2 linked regions of the Lonchura striata genome follow. The protein of the gene in region 1 purifies or fractionates together with the protein of each later gene. This does not show direct contact. Links are inferred from orthologs where the notes say so. Each region holds a gene or a part of one and is shown in the gene's direction. Other genes may lie near its edges.

Region 1 (7,636 bases):
GGGTCCCTGGCAGAGCCTCCCTCAGCCGGGACTTGGCACCTCATCCTCAGCGGGTGGAAGGGGCAAACAGAGCTGGCAGCACCCCTGCAGCGCTGCTGGGCACCAAACCCACCGGGCTGCCTCCTTCCTGCCCGGCCCGGACCCTGCTGGGAGAGGAACATGGCTGGGCTGGAAGGGATGGAGCTGGAAGGGCTGGATGAGGTTGGAGCTGGAAGGGCTGGATGAGGTCGGAGCTGGAAGGGCTGGGTGAGGTTGGAGCTGGAAGGACACGATGAGGTTGGAGCTGGAAGGACACGATTTCGGAGCTGGAAGGACACGATGATTTCGGAGCTGGAAGGACACGATGATTTCGGAGCTGGAAGGACACAATGAGATTGGAGCTGGAAGGACACAATGAGGTCGGAGCTGGAAGGACACAATGAGATTGGAGCTGGAAGGACACGATTTCGGAGCTGGAAGGACACGATGAGGCTGGAGCTGGAAGGACACGATGATTTCGGAGCTGGAAGGACACAATGAGGTTGGAGCTGGAAGGGCTGGATGAGGTTGGAGCTGGAAGGACACAATGAGGTTGGAGCTGGAAGGGCTGGATGAGGTTGGAGCTGGAAGGGCTGGATGAGGTCGGAGCTGGAAGGGCTGGATGAGGTCGGAGCTGGAAGGACACAATGAGGTTGGAGCTGGAAGGACACAATGAGATTGGAGCTGGAAGGACACAATGAGGTCGGAGCTGGAAGGACACAATGAGGTCGGAGCTGGAAGGACACGATGATTTCGGAGCTGGAAGGGCACTATGAGGTTGGAGCTGGAAGGTCACAATGATTTCGGAGCTGGAAGGACACGAGTTTGGAGCTGGAAGGACACAATGATTTCGGAGCTGGAAGGACACAATGAGGTCGGAGCTGGAAGGACACAATGAGGTCAGAGCTGGAAGGACACGAGTTTGGAGCTGGAAGGACACAATGAGATTGGAGCTGGAAGGACACAATGAGGTTGGAGCTGGAAGGACACGATTTCGGAGCTGCAAGGACACGATGATTTCGGAGCTGGAAGGACACAATGAGATTGGAGCTGGAAGGACACAATGAGGTCGGAGCTGGAAGGACTGGATGAGGTTGGAGCTGGAAGGACACAATGAGGTTGGAGCTGGAAGGACACAATGAGGTTGGAGCTGGAAGGGTTGGATGAGGTCGGAGCTGGAAGGACACAATGAGGTCGGAGCTGGAAGGACACGATTTCGGAGCTGGAAGGACACGATGATTTCGGAGCTGGAAGGACACGATGAGGTCAGAGCTGGAAGGACACGATGATTTCGGAGCTGGAAGGCCACGATGAGGCTGGAGGAGGTCTCACAGTGTCCCCTGCCCTCTCCTCGCCTCCCAGCACTGCAGTGCTCCCAGCCTGGGCTGCAGCGTGTTCTCCTGGCCCCCAGGCCCCTGGCCCAGCTCCTGCTGCAGCGCCAGGCTCCGGCCGGGCACATCCAGGTGCTGCTGCACAGGGCAGAGGCCCTGGGCTGCCTCTCCCGCGTGCCGGGCACCCCCGGTAGGGCACGGGGACCGGAACGTGCCCGGGTGGGCACCGGGAACGGCTTCCCCTCCTTTTGCTTGGCAGATTCTCTTATTCCCTCTCAAACCTCTCTCTTCCAAGCACGGGGGAGGGTTGGAATGAGATGATCTTTGGGGCTCCTTCCAACCCAAACCACTCCGTGATTCTACCACTGGATGGAAACGAGCACTGGGAGCATAACAGAGATCTAGGGATCTCCAAGATGGCCCCAAAGAGCTTGAAATATATTTATTTATGGTCCAAAATTAGCATGTGGCTTTCTGTCCTGCTGGCGGTTGTCACCTCTGGCTCTCCTTGCTCTCTGGGATGTGAGCTGAGGACTTTGGAGGTCCCTGCTCTCCAGAAGGGAGGGCCAGATGAAACCTCAGGAGCTCTGTGCTCTCCCCACAGCTCCACAGGGCTCCAAGGGGTCCTGCAGCCCCCCAGGCCCCACGTGGGAGCTGCCAGCCTCCCTCGCTGGCAGGTGAGGTGACCAGGCTCAGGAGGTGACCAGGCTCAGGAGGTGACCATGGCTGAGGAAGTGACCAGCTCAGGAGGTGACCAGGCTCAGGAGGTGACCAGGCTCAGGAGGTGACCATGGCTGAGGAAGTGACCAGCTCAGGAGGTGACCAGCTCAGGAGGTGACCAGGTGGCCACCACGGTGGTGGCATCTCCTGCCCCTTCCAGCCCACCTGGTGATAAAGGAGTCAATCGGCATTTTTAATTGATTGCTGGCCCTAATGAGTGCTTGATAAATTAATGAAGGGGTTGGGAATGACCATGTGTGTGGAGCTCTCTCTCCTGTCCATGGGCCACCACAGAGAAGACCACGGGAGGGTCACCACAGGGAGGAAGGCCGTGGCCAAGGCTGTCACTGTGGGGGTCATCACGGTGAGGATGACCACGGCGAGGAAGGCCCTGTGGTGAGGAAGATGTGATGAGGAAGACCACGGTGAGGCAGATGAAGAAGGGAAGACCATGCTGAGGGAGAGGCTGGCCATGGTGAAGGCAGACTCTGGAGACGAAGGTCATGGTGAGGCAGACTGTGAGGAGGAAGACCCTGGCGAGGAAGGCTGTGTGGAAGGTGAGGATGGCCATGGAGAGGAAGGCTGTGGTGAGGATGGCCCTGACCACCACAGTGAGTCAGAGCACGGGGAGGAAGGCATGGTGCTGAGGGTGAGGATGGCCATGGCGAGGATGAACATGGTGAGGATGACCATGGTGAGGATGACCATGGTGAGGAAGCTGTGCTGAGGGTGAGGCTGGCCATGGTGAGGATGGCCATGGTGAGGATGACCATGGTGAGGATGACCATGGTGAGGATGACCATGGTGAGGATGGCCATGGTGAGAAAGCCGTGCTGAGGGTGAGGATAGTGGTGGTGATGGATGGCCATGCTGAGGCTGGCCTTGGTGAGCAGTCCCACGGGAAGGAAGCTGTGCTGAAGGTGAGGATGGTGGTGATGATGGATGACCATGGTGAGGATGATCAAGGTGAAGATGACCATGGTGAGGCTGGCCGTGGTCAGGAAGCCATGCTGAGGCAATGGCCATAGTGAGGATGGCCGTGGTAAGGATGACCATGGTGAGGACGGCCATGGTGAGGATGACCATGGTGAGGAAGCCATGCTGAGGTGAGGCTGGCCATGGTGAGGATGATCATGGTGAGGATGACCATGGTGAGGATGGCCATGCTAAGGAAGCCGTGCTGAGGTGGCGCTGGCCATGCTGTGGATGACCATGGTGAGGCTGGCCATGGTGAGGAAGCTGTGTTGAGGTGAGGATGACCATGGTGAGGATGGCCATGCTGAGGAAGCTGTGCTGAGGTGAAGATGGCCATGGTGAGGAAGCCATGCTGAGGTGGGGCTGGCCATGCTGAGGATGACCATGGTGAGGATGACCATGGTGAAGATGTCCATGCTGAGGAAGCCGTGCTGAGGTGGGGCTGGCCATGGTGAGGAAGCCGTGCTGAGGTGAGGATGGCCATGGTGAGGATGACCATGGTGAGGATGGCCATGCTGAGGATGACCATGGTGAGGCTGGCCGTGCTGAGGTGAGGATGACCATGATGAGGATGACCATGGTGAGGAAGCCATGCTGAGGTGAGGATGGCTGAGGTGAGGATGGCCATGGTGAGGATGACCATGGTGAGGAAGCCGTGCTGAGGATGACCATGGTGAGGATGACCATGCTGAGGATGACCATGGTGAGGAAGCCGTGCTGAGGTGAGGATGGCTGAGGTGAGGATGACCATGCTGAGGATGACCATGGTGAGGATGACCATGCTGAGGATGACCATGGTGAGGAAGCCATGCTGAGGATGACCATGGTGAGGAAGCCGTGCTGAGGTGAGGCTGGCCGTGCTGAGGATGACCATGGTGAGGATGACCATGCTGAGGATGACCATGCTGAGGATGACCATGGTGAGGATGACCATGCTGAGGATGACCATGGTGAGGAAGCCATGCTGAGGATGACCATGGTGAGGAAGCCGTGCTGAGGTGAGGCTGGCCGTGCTGAGGATGACCATGGTGAGGATGACCATGCTGAGGATGACCATGCTGAGGATGACCATGGTGAGGATGACCATGCTGAGGATGACCATGGTGAGGAAGCCATGCTGAGGATGACCATGGTGAGGAAGCCGTGCTGAGGTGAGGCTGGCCGTGCTGAGGATGACCATGGTGAGGATGACCATGCTGAGGATGACCATGGTGAGGATGACCATGCTGAGGAAGCCGTGCTGAGCGAGCCGCGCCGGGGCGGGCTGGCCGCGGTGAGCGGTCCCGCGGAGGAAGCCGTGCCGGGGCTGAGGGCGGCGGCGATGCAGGCCCGGCACGGCCCGGCCCGGCCCGGCCCGGCCCGCCCCGGCCCGCCCCGGCACGGCCCGGCCCGGCGCGGCGGGGCGGGTCTGACCCGGCCGGGAAGCGGAAGCGGCGCTCGGGGCCGCGGGCCGGGCCGCGGCCGCGGTGGCGGCGGTGAGGCCGGGGGCGGCGGGCGCGGGGCCGGTAACGGCCGGGCCGGGCCGGGCCGGGCCGGGCCGGGCCGGGCCGGGGCTGAGCGCCGCGCCGTTCCCGCAGATGCATCACTGCAGGAGGCTGCGGTGCCCCGAGCAGGACGGCGAGCCGGGGCACCGCTGGAAGCGGCGGCGCTCGCGGAGCCGGGAGGACGAGGCCCGGCTGCGGTACCCGCCCCGCCGGGACGCGGCCCGCAGGTCGCGCTCCAGGAGGTGAGAGCGCTGCCCCTGACCCCTGTGCTGGGCTGCCCCCCAAAACTGCCGACCTGGGCTGCCCCTGAACCCCGAGAGCGCTGCCCCTGAACCCTGTGCTGGGCTGCCCCCCAAAACTGCCGACCTGGGCTGCCCCTGAACCCCGAGAGCGCTGCCCCCAAAACTGCCGACCTGAGCTGCCCCTGAACCCCGAGAGCGCTGCCCCTGACCCCGAGAGCGCTGCCCCTAAAAGCACCGTGCTGAGCTTACCCTAAAACTGCCGTGCAGAGCTGCCCCCAAAACTGCCGTGCTGAGCTCGGCTCCTGGCTGTGGACCAGCTGTAAATCCCGGGGATGGAAGGGAAGGGTTTACTTGTGTGTGTGTGTGCCTGTGTGTGTGTGTGTGTGTGTGTCTGCGTGTGTGTGTGTGTGCCTGTGTGTCTGTGTGTGTGTGTGTGTGTGTCTGTGTCTGTCTGTCTGTGTCTGCGTGTGTGTGCGTGTGTGTGTATCTGTCTGTGTGTGTCTGTGTGTGTGTCTATCTCTGTGTGTGTGTCTGTCTGTGTCTGTCTATGTCTGCATGTGTGTGTGTGTTTGTGCGTGTCTGTCCGTGTGTGTCTGTGTGTGTGCCTGTCTCTGTGTGTGTCTGTCTCTGTCTGTCTGTCTGTCTCTGTGTGTATGTGTGTGTGTGTGTCTGTGTGTCTGTGTGTGTGTGTCTCTGTGTGTGTGTGTCTGTCTGTGTGTCTGTGTGTCTGTCTGCCTGTGTCTGTGTGTGCATGTCTGTCTGTCTGTCTGTCTGTGTGTGTCTGTGTGTGTCTTTCTGTCTGTGCATGTCTGTGTGTGCCTGTCTCTGTGTGTGTGTGTCTGTGTCTGTCCGTGTGTGTCTGTGTGTGTGCCTGTCTCTGTGTGTGTCTGTCTGTGTCTGTCCGTGTGTGTCTGTGTGTGTGCCTGTCTCTGTGTGTGTCTGTCTCTGTCTGTCTCTGTGTGTATGTGTGTCTGTCTGTCTGTCTGTCTGTGTCTGTCTGTCTGTCTGTCTGTGTGTGCGCTCTCCCTGCGGCGCTGAAGTTCTCCCGAAGCCGCGGCGTCAAGGAGGGAGCAGCCTGCGCTGGAATCACGTTTCCATGCTGCATTACAGGCTGTCCTGCCAGGATCCCTGCCAGGATTAAAATCACATTTAAAGCCACCGCGCTCCTCCCTCGCCTCAGACAGGATCCCAGCTGAGGGATCCTGCTGCTGGCCGATCTCTCTGCCTTGCTGTGGGGTTTTACCTTTGCTCCTCGCTTTTCCAGCGCTCCCACGGGGACGGCTGGGAGCTGGGAGCGGGACGAGGCCTCAGGGAGGTTCTGGAGCAGAGGCTGGAGCGGCTGCACTGCACTGCTGCTGCTGGGGCTGCTGTGGTTCCACTGGTTGGACTGGGCAGGTGCAGCCAGGCAGGAGCTGAGCTCATCTTTAAATTCCTCAAATGCTCCCCAGATTAATTTCTCTCCCCAGCCTGGCTTTTGTTTACGTGAAGGAGGTGGATTGTGAAATAGAGCTGGTGCGCGCAGCGAGCTTTTCCTTTTTTATTTCCATCTGATGGGTCATTTGGAACAGATTTGGATGAAAGTAGGGTTGGGTGAAAACAGCCTTGTCTCTTCTGTCTCAGCCTCTTTGAGGAGACCTGAGTGCTCCGGGTCATTATTTCTGTTTGCACCCCAGGGAGTGTCTGGGCCGGTGCTGGGCAGAGCTGTGGGGTTGTGTTCTGGGTACTTCAGCAGTCAGTGAGAGCCACGGCTGCCCTGGCACAGTCTGGAGTTGGGACCCACTCTGGGATGCCCCCACAAGTGCCCCATGGAGCTGCCAGCAGTGTCCTGGTTGCTGACGGGGCAGGGAGGTGCAGACAGCAGAAATTCCCATTCCCAGGCTGAAAGGCTCGGCTGGCAAAGCTGTTGCTGGGTGATGGCACCAGCCTGGCCCAGGGTTATCTCTGGGGAGCCAGAGCGCTGCTTTTATTTCAGATTGCAACATCTTCTACCTGAAACACAGCTCCTTTCTCAAGGGGGTGTGAAGCAAGCCTCCAGTGCAGTCTGGTGGGGAAGGCACTTGTATTTTGGAGGCAGAAGCAGGGAGAGCTGCTCTCATCCCTGAGGTGCCCAAAACCTCGCGTGTGTCACCCGTGTGTCGGTGCCTGCACCGCTGAGCTTGGTCCTGGCCCCTCCTGATGCACAGTTTGGCCGTGTGTCCTGGGAGGTTGTTGCTCGAGGGGCAGGAGCCTGGGGACAGATTTCCCTTCTGCCTCTTGCTGATGATCCGTGGGGCTGCTCTGTGCGTGCACACCGAGGCTTTGGTGCCCTGGGACCTCCTGTGCCCCTGGGGTGACAACCAGAGCCCTGCTGCTGCTCCTCGTTTGGTTAAGAACTAATGAGACACCTCCTCGAGGGAGGAGGAATGGTGACAAACACCAGTGTGCCGTGGCACAGGTGGAATCATGGAGTGTTGAGGGGTTGGAAGGGACCTTAAGCTCACCCAGTGCCACCCCCTGCCATGGGCAGGGACACCTTCCACTGTCCCAGGCTGCTCCAAGCTCTGTCCAACCCAGCTTGGACACTCCAGAGGTGGGATCCACAGCAAGGCAGGCAGCCCAGCTGGAGCTCTCTGAGGGTGGTTTTCCCCCCACACCTTAAAATGTGGGAATGCCTCACTGTTTTCCCTCCAGAGCTTCTCCTCGCTGGCCAGAGTTTGAGGTGCAGAAAGATTTGAAGCCTCTGGCACAGGGAGTGGGAGCAGGAGGATTTCTCCGTGGTGACTGCTGATGGGACCCAGGGGGACAGCAGGGAGCTGTGTCAGGGTGGGCGTTAGGAAAAGGGGCTTTTCTCCAGAGAATGACCCGATTCTTTCCCTGAATTGGATAC
Region 2 (7,320 bases), on another chromosome or scaffold:
AAAAAAAAAACCTTTGAAAGGGAGAAAAATAATGATAGTTGTGTTTCATATGCTCAGAAACCACTACTTCCCTGAGGGGGAGAGATTTATTAGGAAAAAAGATAGATTTCTTGTTCCTGATCATGGTTATTCACTGAACTCCATCTAATAAACATGCATTAAAAACCAAGGAGCAGCACCTCATCCCAGACTTCGGACTGCCAGGTATCCCTGCTGCATGGGCAAAGCCCACCAAACACACCAAGTTCCCATGGCAGAGCTGTGCTGCCAGAGCACAAACCTGGTCACAGTAATGGCAGATCAAGGGCAGGTAATTACAAGCACTTCTGAAGAGAGAACATGATGCATTGGTCAGTCACGCAACCTCCTGAGTCATGTGTGAACATTTGACTTTTATTAGACCTCAGCAACATAATGAAGAATAGAAAAGGAAATAAAGATCCTGCTGGCACAGTCACTGCCCTGCAATGCCAGCTTTACAGTTACCACAGACAGACCAGGAAAATCAAATATATTGTCAGGACACAAGGCGATAAAAAGCACACGAGATACCTAAAGACAAGGAATCTCAGTGTAAGATCACTGCCTGCACTGCTCTAAAGCAATGAATAAATTCAAACTCTACTGAGCAATCATAAGTTCAATAGAGCAAAAAAACCCACAGAACCAGTTTGAAATTCTGAACATAACATATTGATAATGGAGCAGAACAGGACAAATATCATGACACTAGCCGGCCTTCAATTTCCTACAAGCTGACAGCATTTTAAGTTGCTGCCTCTGTGTTGACAGGGAAATACACAGTGCACATGATGAGCCTTACTATACTTTGTGAGGATATCAGCCCATAGCTACATGACCAACAGAGGACATTTCCAAACACAGCACATTGCCAAGTAAGAGAGATAATAAGAAAGGGAATTTGAATGAAGAAACCTGAAGAGTCACAGGCCAGTAAGTGTTCTATGACAAATCACTGCCGTATTATTGCTTACACTAATAAATATCTTCCTGTTGTTCCTTAATTTTAACAAGCAAGCAAAAAGCTTGAGGAGAATTGACTGATTCCACCTGATGGGCAGAATATGAGGGATGTCTTACTTTACAGGAGGGAACCAAAACATTCTATTCTATTTCAGTCCTATCCATTAGACTTACAGCAAATGAAATGCACTTCAAGCTAAGACCTCCTATGTGAAAACACTGATAATGCACCAAGGGAGAGCACTGCAGGGTTGTGCAGAAAACCATCATGTCCCTCTAAGGGTAAAAAAAGAACATTAAGAAAAGCACAGAATAATGTATCAGTAAGAGAACAAGAGAGCCTACTGAGTGATCACCAAATTATGAGGCCACAGAGTAGATACCACAGTGGCTACCACAAAGCATTGCAGTGAAACTCCCTGTATAGGAGGCTGAAGGCAAATAAAAAGGAAAGTTAAAGACCTCAGGGAAACCAACAAGCCCACCTTCCTGCAAACACACACTGGTATCACAGCTGAAGATAAGGGAGGTGTGTGGACAAGCTGGATTAGCTCTATCAGCAACCTAAGAGTGGGTAAACAACCAAGGCTGAGCTAATAAACAATCAGCATCAGCAACAGTTAAAACAAGAGTTGTGCAGAATGCAAAGCACAGCACTAAAATACCCTGGAGGAGTTTCCTACTCAAGTGATGGACAGGGGAAACGGAAAACTTTCATTTAGCAGGAACCTCAAGAGAATGTCTGGATGAAAAGGGAAGAGACAAGAAGTGATCATGCAACTACAATTGTGCTTCACTCATCTGAAAAAGAACACACCACAGGAAATTCACAATCTGTTCAAGCAGACCTATAAATAGGAGCAAACAGCAGAGATTGGGGCACAAAGCAATAACAGCAATGTCCTAAAGGGAGGCACAGAGGAATGGGTGCCAGGAGGAGAAAGGGCCCATTTTGCTGAGTGGACTTCGGTGGAGAACAAAGACACAGGGAAAAGCGCTTAGAGAAGAATGGGCCAGATTTAGATCAAAGAACAGATCAATTCTGTGCATTTGGATAAATGCAAAACAAAACCACATTTAACCGCACCACAGACTCTTAAAATAATATGACAAGTTTTGAGAATGCACAGTCCTCTGGAAATCCACAGTCAAGTGCAGGAGTCCAAGAGGAGATGAAATGCAAGGGAATATTTCAGGTGGCTCAAAGGTGATGAAAACATGCACTGCTTTAAAATCTGTATAATTTAACAAGAAAACAGCAAAAATTTTAATACCAGGAAGAAAACAAGGGAAGTCACAGTAAACAAGTGGATGTAGGTTTCCACACAACAATTTCATAGCAGTGATGGATGTACAGAAAACTAGTAGAAAAGCAGAACTGAGGACCAGCATGAGAAAGGAAAACACCAAAACAAATACACGCATTCAATGCAAGACAAAGAACAGAAAAACTAAAACCCTGAGGCAAAGCTAGTGCCAAGTAGAAAAAAACCTCTTACACTGAAGAACACAAACACTGATACAGACATAAAATGAAAAAAAAACAAAAAAACTACCAAAACCACCAGCATTCAGAAAACAGCAGGCTGAATTAATTTAGGAGAGAAAAGGCAGCTCGTATGTTTGTGTTTCTCCATGGACCAAAGTTTCACAGTGTGAGAAAAACTGATAACACTGGCTGAGCACCAAAATGAACTCTGGGCTCAGGGATCAGAGTTTGCAATAACGAAACAGAAAATGAAACTCAGGTGACTACAGTCATTCCTGGGACCTACACTACGACTGAACCTAGAACAGACAGTGCACACGCATACTGCTACACAGCAGAAAAAACCAGCAGCGCCTAAAAAGAAGGGGTTAATGAAGGCCTTCGAGATAGAAACAGCGATCAGAATCAAAGGGCTTAAAAGAGAAACTCATGCTCGATATGGGCATAATACAAGCAGTGAAAAAATCCTGCTTTATAAGCCCTGAATTGGGAGAGCAGAGCCGAGGTGCTGCCGCACCCGTAGCAAAGGTGCCGCTGCCTATTCCATCACCCAAGAACTTAAAACAAAAGATCCAGGTGAATGAGTGCATTTGCCCCGCTCCACACCTTCACATTTCCTCTGTAAAGCCAGAAAACTTGCTGTGGAGAAACATTTTGACACCGAGAGCCATAAACAGCTTTCAGGATTCTGACTGCTCACATTCATAGAGCGATGTTCAAGGGCTCAGCGGCCCCGCCGCGTTTCCGAGCTGCCCGAGCAGCACGTCGGGTCCGTGACTCCGCGGTTCCGAGTCATTTTGCCCCCCGCACACCAAACCCGCTGTAGCCGAGCCCGTGTTTTGCAAGTCATACGAGCACCGGGAGCTCTCCGCGCACCCGGCAGGCGCCGTTAGGAAGCTCCAACCCCTGCGGGCCCCGAGCAGCGCCGGGCTCGGGGCGCCCCAGCTCGCCGAACCCCCGTTCATTCACCTCTTAGCGCTTCCTTCAGCGAGCGCCCGGCTCCCCACGCCAGCCCTGCCCAGCTCCGGGGCCTCCGCGAGAGCGCAGCCAGCCCGGGGGCTGCGCCCTGGCCACCCGCTTCTTACCGCGGCTTGCCCCCCAGATGGCCCCGGCGAGGCGGGCGGGGGACACCGGCGATCCCTGGGGGGACCTGCACCAACCACCGGAGCCGACGGACCCCGGGCCGCAGCCTGGGGCCGGGGGGCTGCGCCGGCCCGGCTCCCACCCCAACCGGGAGCCACGCCGGGGGCCCCTGGGGGAGCGGAGGGCGGGGAGGCTGAGCACGGTGCCTTCACTCATTAGCGCACGGCCGGCAATGGGGCCACCGGCGGGGCCACCGGCGCCCAGCCCGGCACCGTCCCTTCCCCTCACCCCGATGCGCGCCCCTCGGCAGCCCCCAGCCGGGCCGCTCCCGCCCTGCCTCACCTCAGCTCCGCGCAGCCCCGCCGGGAGCGCAGCGGGGCCGCCGCGGACCCCGCGCCCTCCGCCCCGGCCCGGCGCTGCCGCCGCTCCTTTGTGCCGAAAGATGGAGGCGCCTCACGGCCCCGCCCCGCCCCGGGCCCGCCCCGCCCCGGGCCCGCCCCGCCCCGGGCCCGCCCCGCCCCGGGCCCGCCCCGCCCCGGGCCCGCCCCCCGCCGTCTCCCGGGCGACCCGCCCCGCCCTCGGCCCCGCCCCCGCCTCGCAGCTTCGCCCAATCGCGGCGCGGGGCCGCCGTGACGTCATCCCCGCAGCCAACCCCCGCCCTCTCCGCGCGCCGCCCTGCCCGCCGTGGGAGCGGCGGGGATTGGCTGCCGCGGGGGCGGGGCCGGCGGAGGAAGCGCTCGCGCGGTTGGCCGCGGCGGGCGGAAGGGGCGGGGCGGCGCGGCCGGCGGAGGGGAGCGGGGTCAATGGCGGCGCTGCGGGCCCGCCGGTGCCGCTCGCTGTGAGGGGCCGCGGTACGTGCCGGGGGCGGGCCCGCGGCGGTGGGGCCGGAGGGAGCGCCCGGGCGCGGGATAGCGGCCGAAGCCGGGCCGCCGGCCCTTGGGGTGCAGGGGTGAAGAGGCTCGGGCCTGGGCCCCGCGAGCGCGGCGGCCGCTCCCGGGACGAGGGGCTGGAGGGAAGGTGCGGAGGGGAGAGGAGGTCGCGGTGAGGGCTCGGAGCAGCTCGAGCCCGGCACGCGCGGCAGGCTCCCGGCACCGAGGTCCGGCGGAGCGCAGGGAGCGGGCCCGGGGCCGGCTCAGGCCGGCGGGGCCGATTGATCCCCTCCGGCTCCGGGCGGCTCCAGGCGCGGCGCCGCGCTTGACGCGGTGCGGGAGCGCTGCCCGGCCGTCATCAGCGGTGGGTTGATGAGACGGGCAGGTAAGTTGCCTTTGTTACTTAAACAGCGCTGAATCGATTGGAAGCTGCACTCGAGTACCCGGGGCACCGTCGCTGCTCTGCATCTGTTTCAGCCTGAGTGGTAGCAAGAGTTGTGACGTTTGGGAGGTTTTTTTTTTGATCCTGGGGAAGTTACCGTCTGGTGTTATAAAAACATGTGGTTTACAGCTGTGACAAACTTTTGCCTTTGCGGTGACAGCATAGCCCTAGAATACAGTCACCAGATGAAAACACAGATAAATAGGGAAAAGTTGCCAAGTGCATGTTTTTTGTTGGGCCTGCTTTGTGTGTGTTAGCTTCAGATGGGAGAGGGCAAACAATACAGCGAGGTTACCAAACTTTTTAAGTGCAAGTGAACTTTAATCTGATGCTGCTAGATGGGTTTTTCCCCCCCCTCATCTCTTTTCCCCAAGATGGGGTTGTCAGTGTCAGACACTGGTGTTCAAAGCACCACCGCTGCCTCTCAGTCCATAATTAAACCCTAATCTACTTTGTGTATCTTAAAATCTATTGTCTGAGTGAACTGACGATGGTTTGCTGCTGAAGGCTGTAGTCCCCAGAGGATGCTGTGTTCTTGAAGAATCCCTTTCTCTCAGTTTGCTTTTATTACTTTCTGTCACCATTATATTGGAACCTTTTGTTTCCTCTCTAAATATATAGGTTGAGATTACACAAGTGAAGAAACAATTTATGTTGTTTATGCAGCACTTGGATAGGAAAGCTGGCCTTGTGATCAGGACTTGTATTCAGCTGTGAGGTTCAATTTTTATCTTCTCTGTAGATTTCCATCTTGAACCACCTTCAGAAATGACACTCAAAGAGCAAGTGTTCCATGCTTTCTGGAAAGTGGACTTCGGCTCTTAGGGTGGATTTTTTTGTTGGATATTGAAAAATAAAGAAAAGTTTAAAAAAAGAGAAAGTGACCAGCCTTGGATCTGTCCTTCCTGTCCCCAGCTCTTAAGAGAATTCTTTTGTCTTAACTTCTTTTAGTAATACTAACCTTAAGAATGCACCCTGCTGTAACAAATATTTGCCCAGTGCTCTAACCTGGATTTCTCCTGAGACCTCAGTTTTTTCATTTTTGTTACAAGCAGTACCCCCAAAAGTATCAGTTTTTGTAAGGATTGCAGGACTTCCTGCAGGACTGATTCCTTGTGGTGTGAAGGAAGGATGATAAACAGGTTTCTTCCCTCACTTGGGTTACTGCATCCCTTCCTCCTTGGAAGAGTAACTGCTCTGGGATCTCTTCTGTGCTGAAATGCAGGGTGAGATCCCAAATGAACAGTACTTGGCAGAACTGTGGGCAGTCCTTAACTTGCTGCAGTTATACCAGGGAGAAAATAAAGCAGAAAAAAGTTATGTTGGCATGTCTTTAAAGGAACAGCTCTGTGTGTTGTGCTTGTGTTGTATTTCTGTGTACTGTTTTGATGTACAGGCTTGAAACAAAAACAGGCATTAGGGCTTCATGGTGTAGCATGGATCTGGCAAAATAATTCTGGAGGGAGACACCTAGGACTCAGAGAAGCAGTTTGTTTCATCCTGGGCTTTCAGGTGTCAAAACCACAAGTTTCCTTGTTAGGCTGTCTACTTGGAGCATCTCCACCCTGCACCTGGTACTGAAATCTTGAAGCAGAGGGTGGCTGCACTGTGTGGGAAGGGACTGTGCTCTCCAGGGGACGTGATGCTCATTTTCTAAGCCCAGCTCTGTTTTAGCCATGGGGAATTCCCTCTCTCACTCAGCTGTTGACTTCCTAGCCAGATCCCCCCAGTTTATATGCTGGGCACAGTGATACAAACATTTTTCTGTGGCCATGGTTCTGTGCAATGTCCCTTTGGCCAGTTCAGGACAGCTGTCCTGGCCATGCTCTCTCACACTTCTCGTGTAGCTCCTTGCTGGGCAGGCTGAGACACTGGGGAGTCCTTGACTTAGGCTAAAACTGCAAGGCTGTTATCAATGTTGTCACACCAAGCCCAAACCACAGAGCTGTACGAGCTGCTAAGAAGTTTAACTCTGTCCCAGCCAAAACCAGAACAGCTGGTAATTTCTGGTTAATCATTTCTAACTACATGCATTCAACAACTGAAAACAGGCAAGCTTTCTCAAATTTTCATAGCTTGGGCAAAAAGAACATGGATTTTAGTGCTTTGCCATCACTTTATCTCTCTTCAGAACAGATGTGGAGGAACAAAAATAAAAGGATGAGAGTGTAGGTGAGGGTGTTTATTTTTAAAAAGTATTTACTTCAGCAAAGTAAATCCATTAGAACACTACTTAAAAAAAAAAAAAGCAGCCTGAGGCAGACAACTAGCAGGAAAGACATAATTATGAAAAAAAGAGTAAAGAAGGAGTAATAGATGATGCTTATTAGTCTTAGCAGTTATGCAGTGAGTTTGTGTCTCAGTCAGTGCTTACTATGCAGTGTTCTTTAGAGAGCTGAAGTTATTGTAAGGGCAGCAGGTGTGTGTTTCAGGATATTTAATCATGTTTCACT

The links. Proteins that work in one complex are often made in the same cells at the same time.
Region 2: the proteins of CLK3 (region 1) and PSME3IP1 purify together in Homo sapiens (affinity purification with mass spectrometry; 3 studies listed by BioGRID and IntAct, counting the BioPlex papers as one, with this or other methods). This does not show direct contact. The link is inferred for Lonchura striata from reciprocal best matches to the Homo sapiens genes CLK3 and PSME3IP1.

Annotation. Positions count from the first base shown.
Region 1 is NC_134613.1:6,013,138-6,020,773, reverse strand, and holds the start of CLK3 (dual specificity protein kinase CLK3), read left to right. Parts: upstream 1-4,601; 5' UTR 4,602-4,621; coding exon 4,622-4,770; intron 4,771-7,636. UniProt on the Homo sapiens protein: Dual specificity kinase acting on both serine/threonine and tyrosine-containing substrates. Phosphorylates serine- and arginine-rich (SR) proteins of the spliceosomal complex.
Region 2 is NC_134615.1:17,136,563-17,143,882, forward strand, and holds the start of PSME3IP1 (PSME3-interacting protein), read left to right. Parts: upstream 1-4,311; 5' UTR 4,312-4,407; intron 4,408-7,320. UniProt on the Homo sapiens protein: Promotes the association of the proteasome activator complex subunit PSME3 with the 20S proteasome and regulates its activity.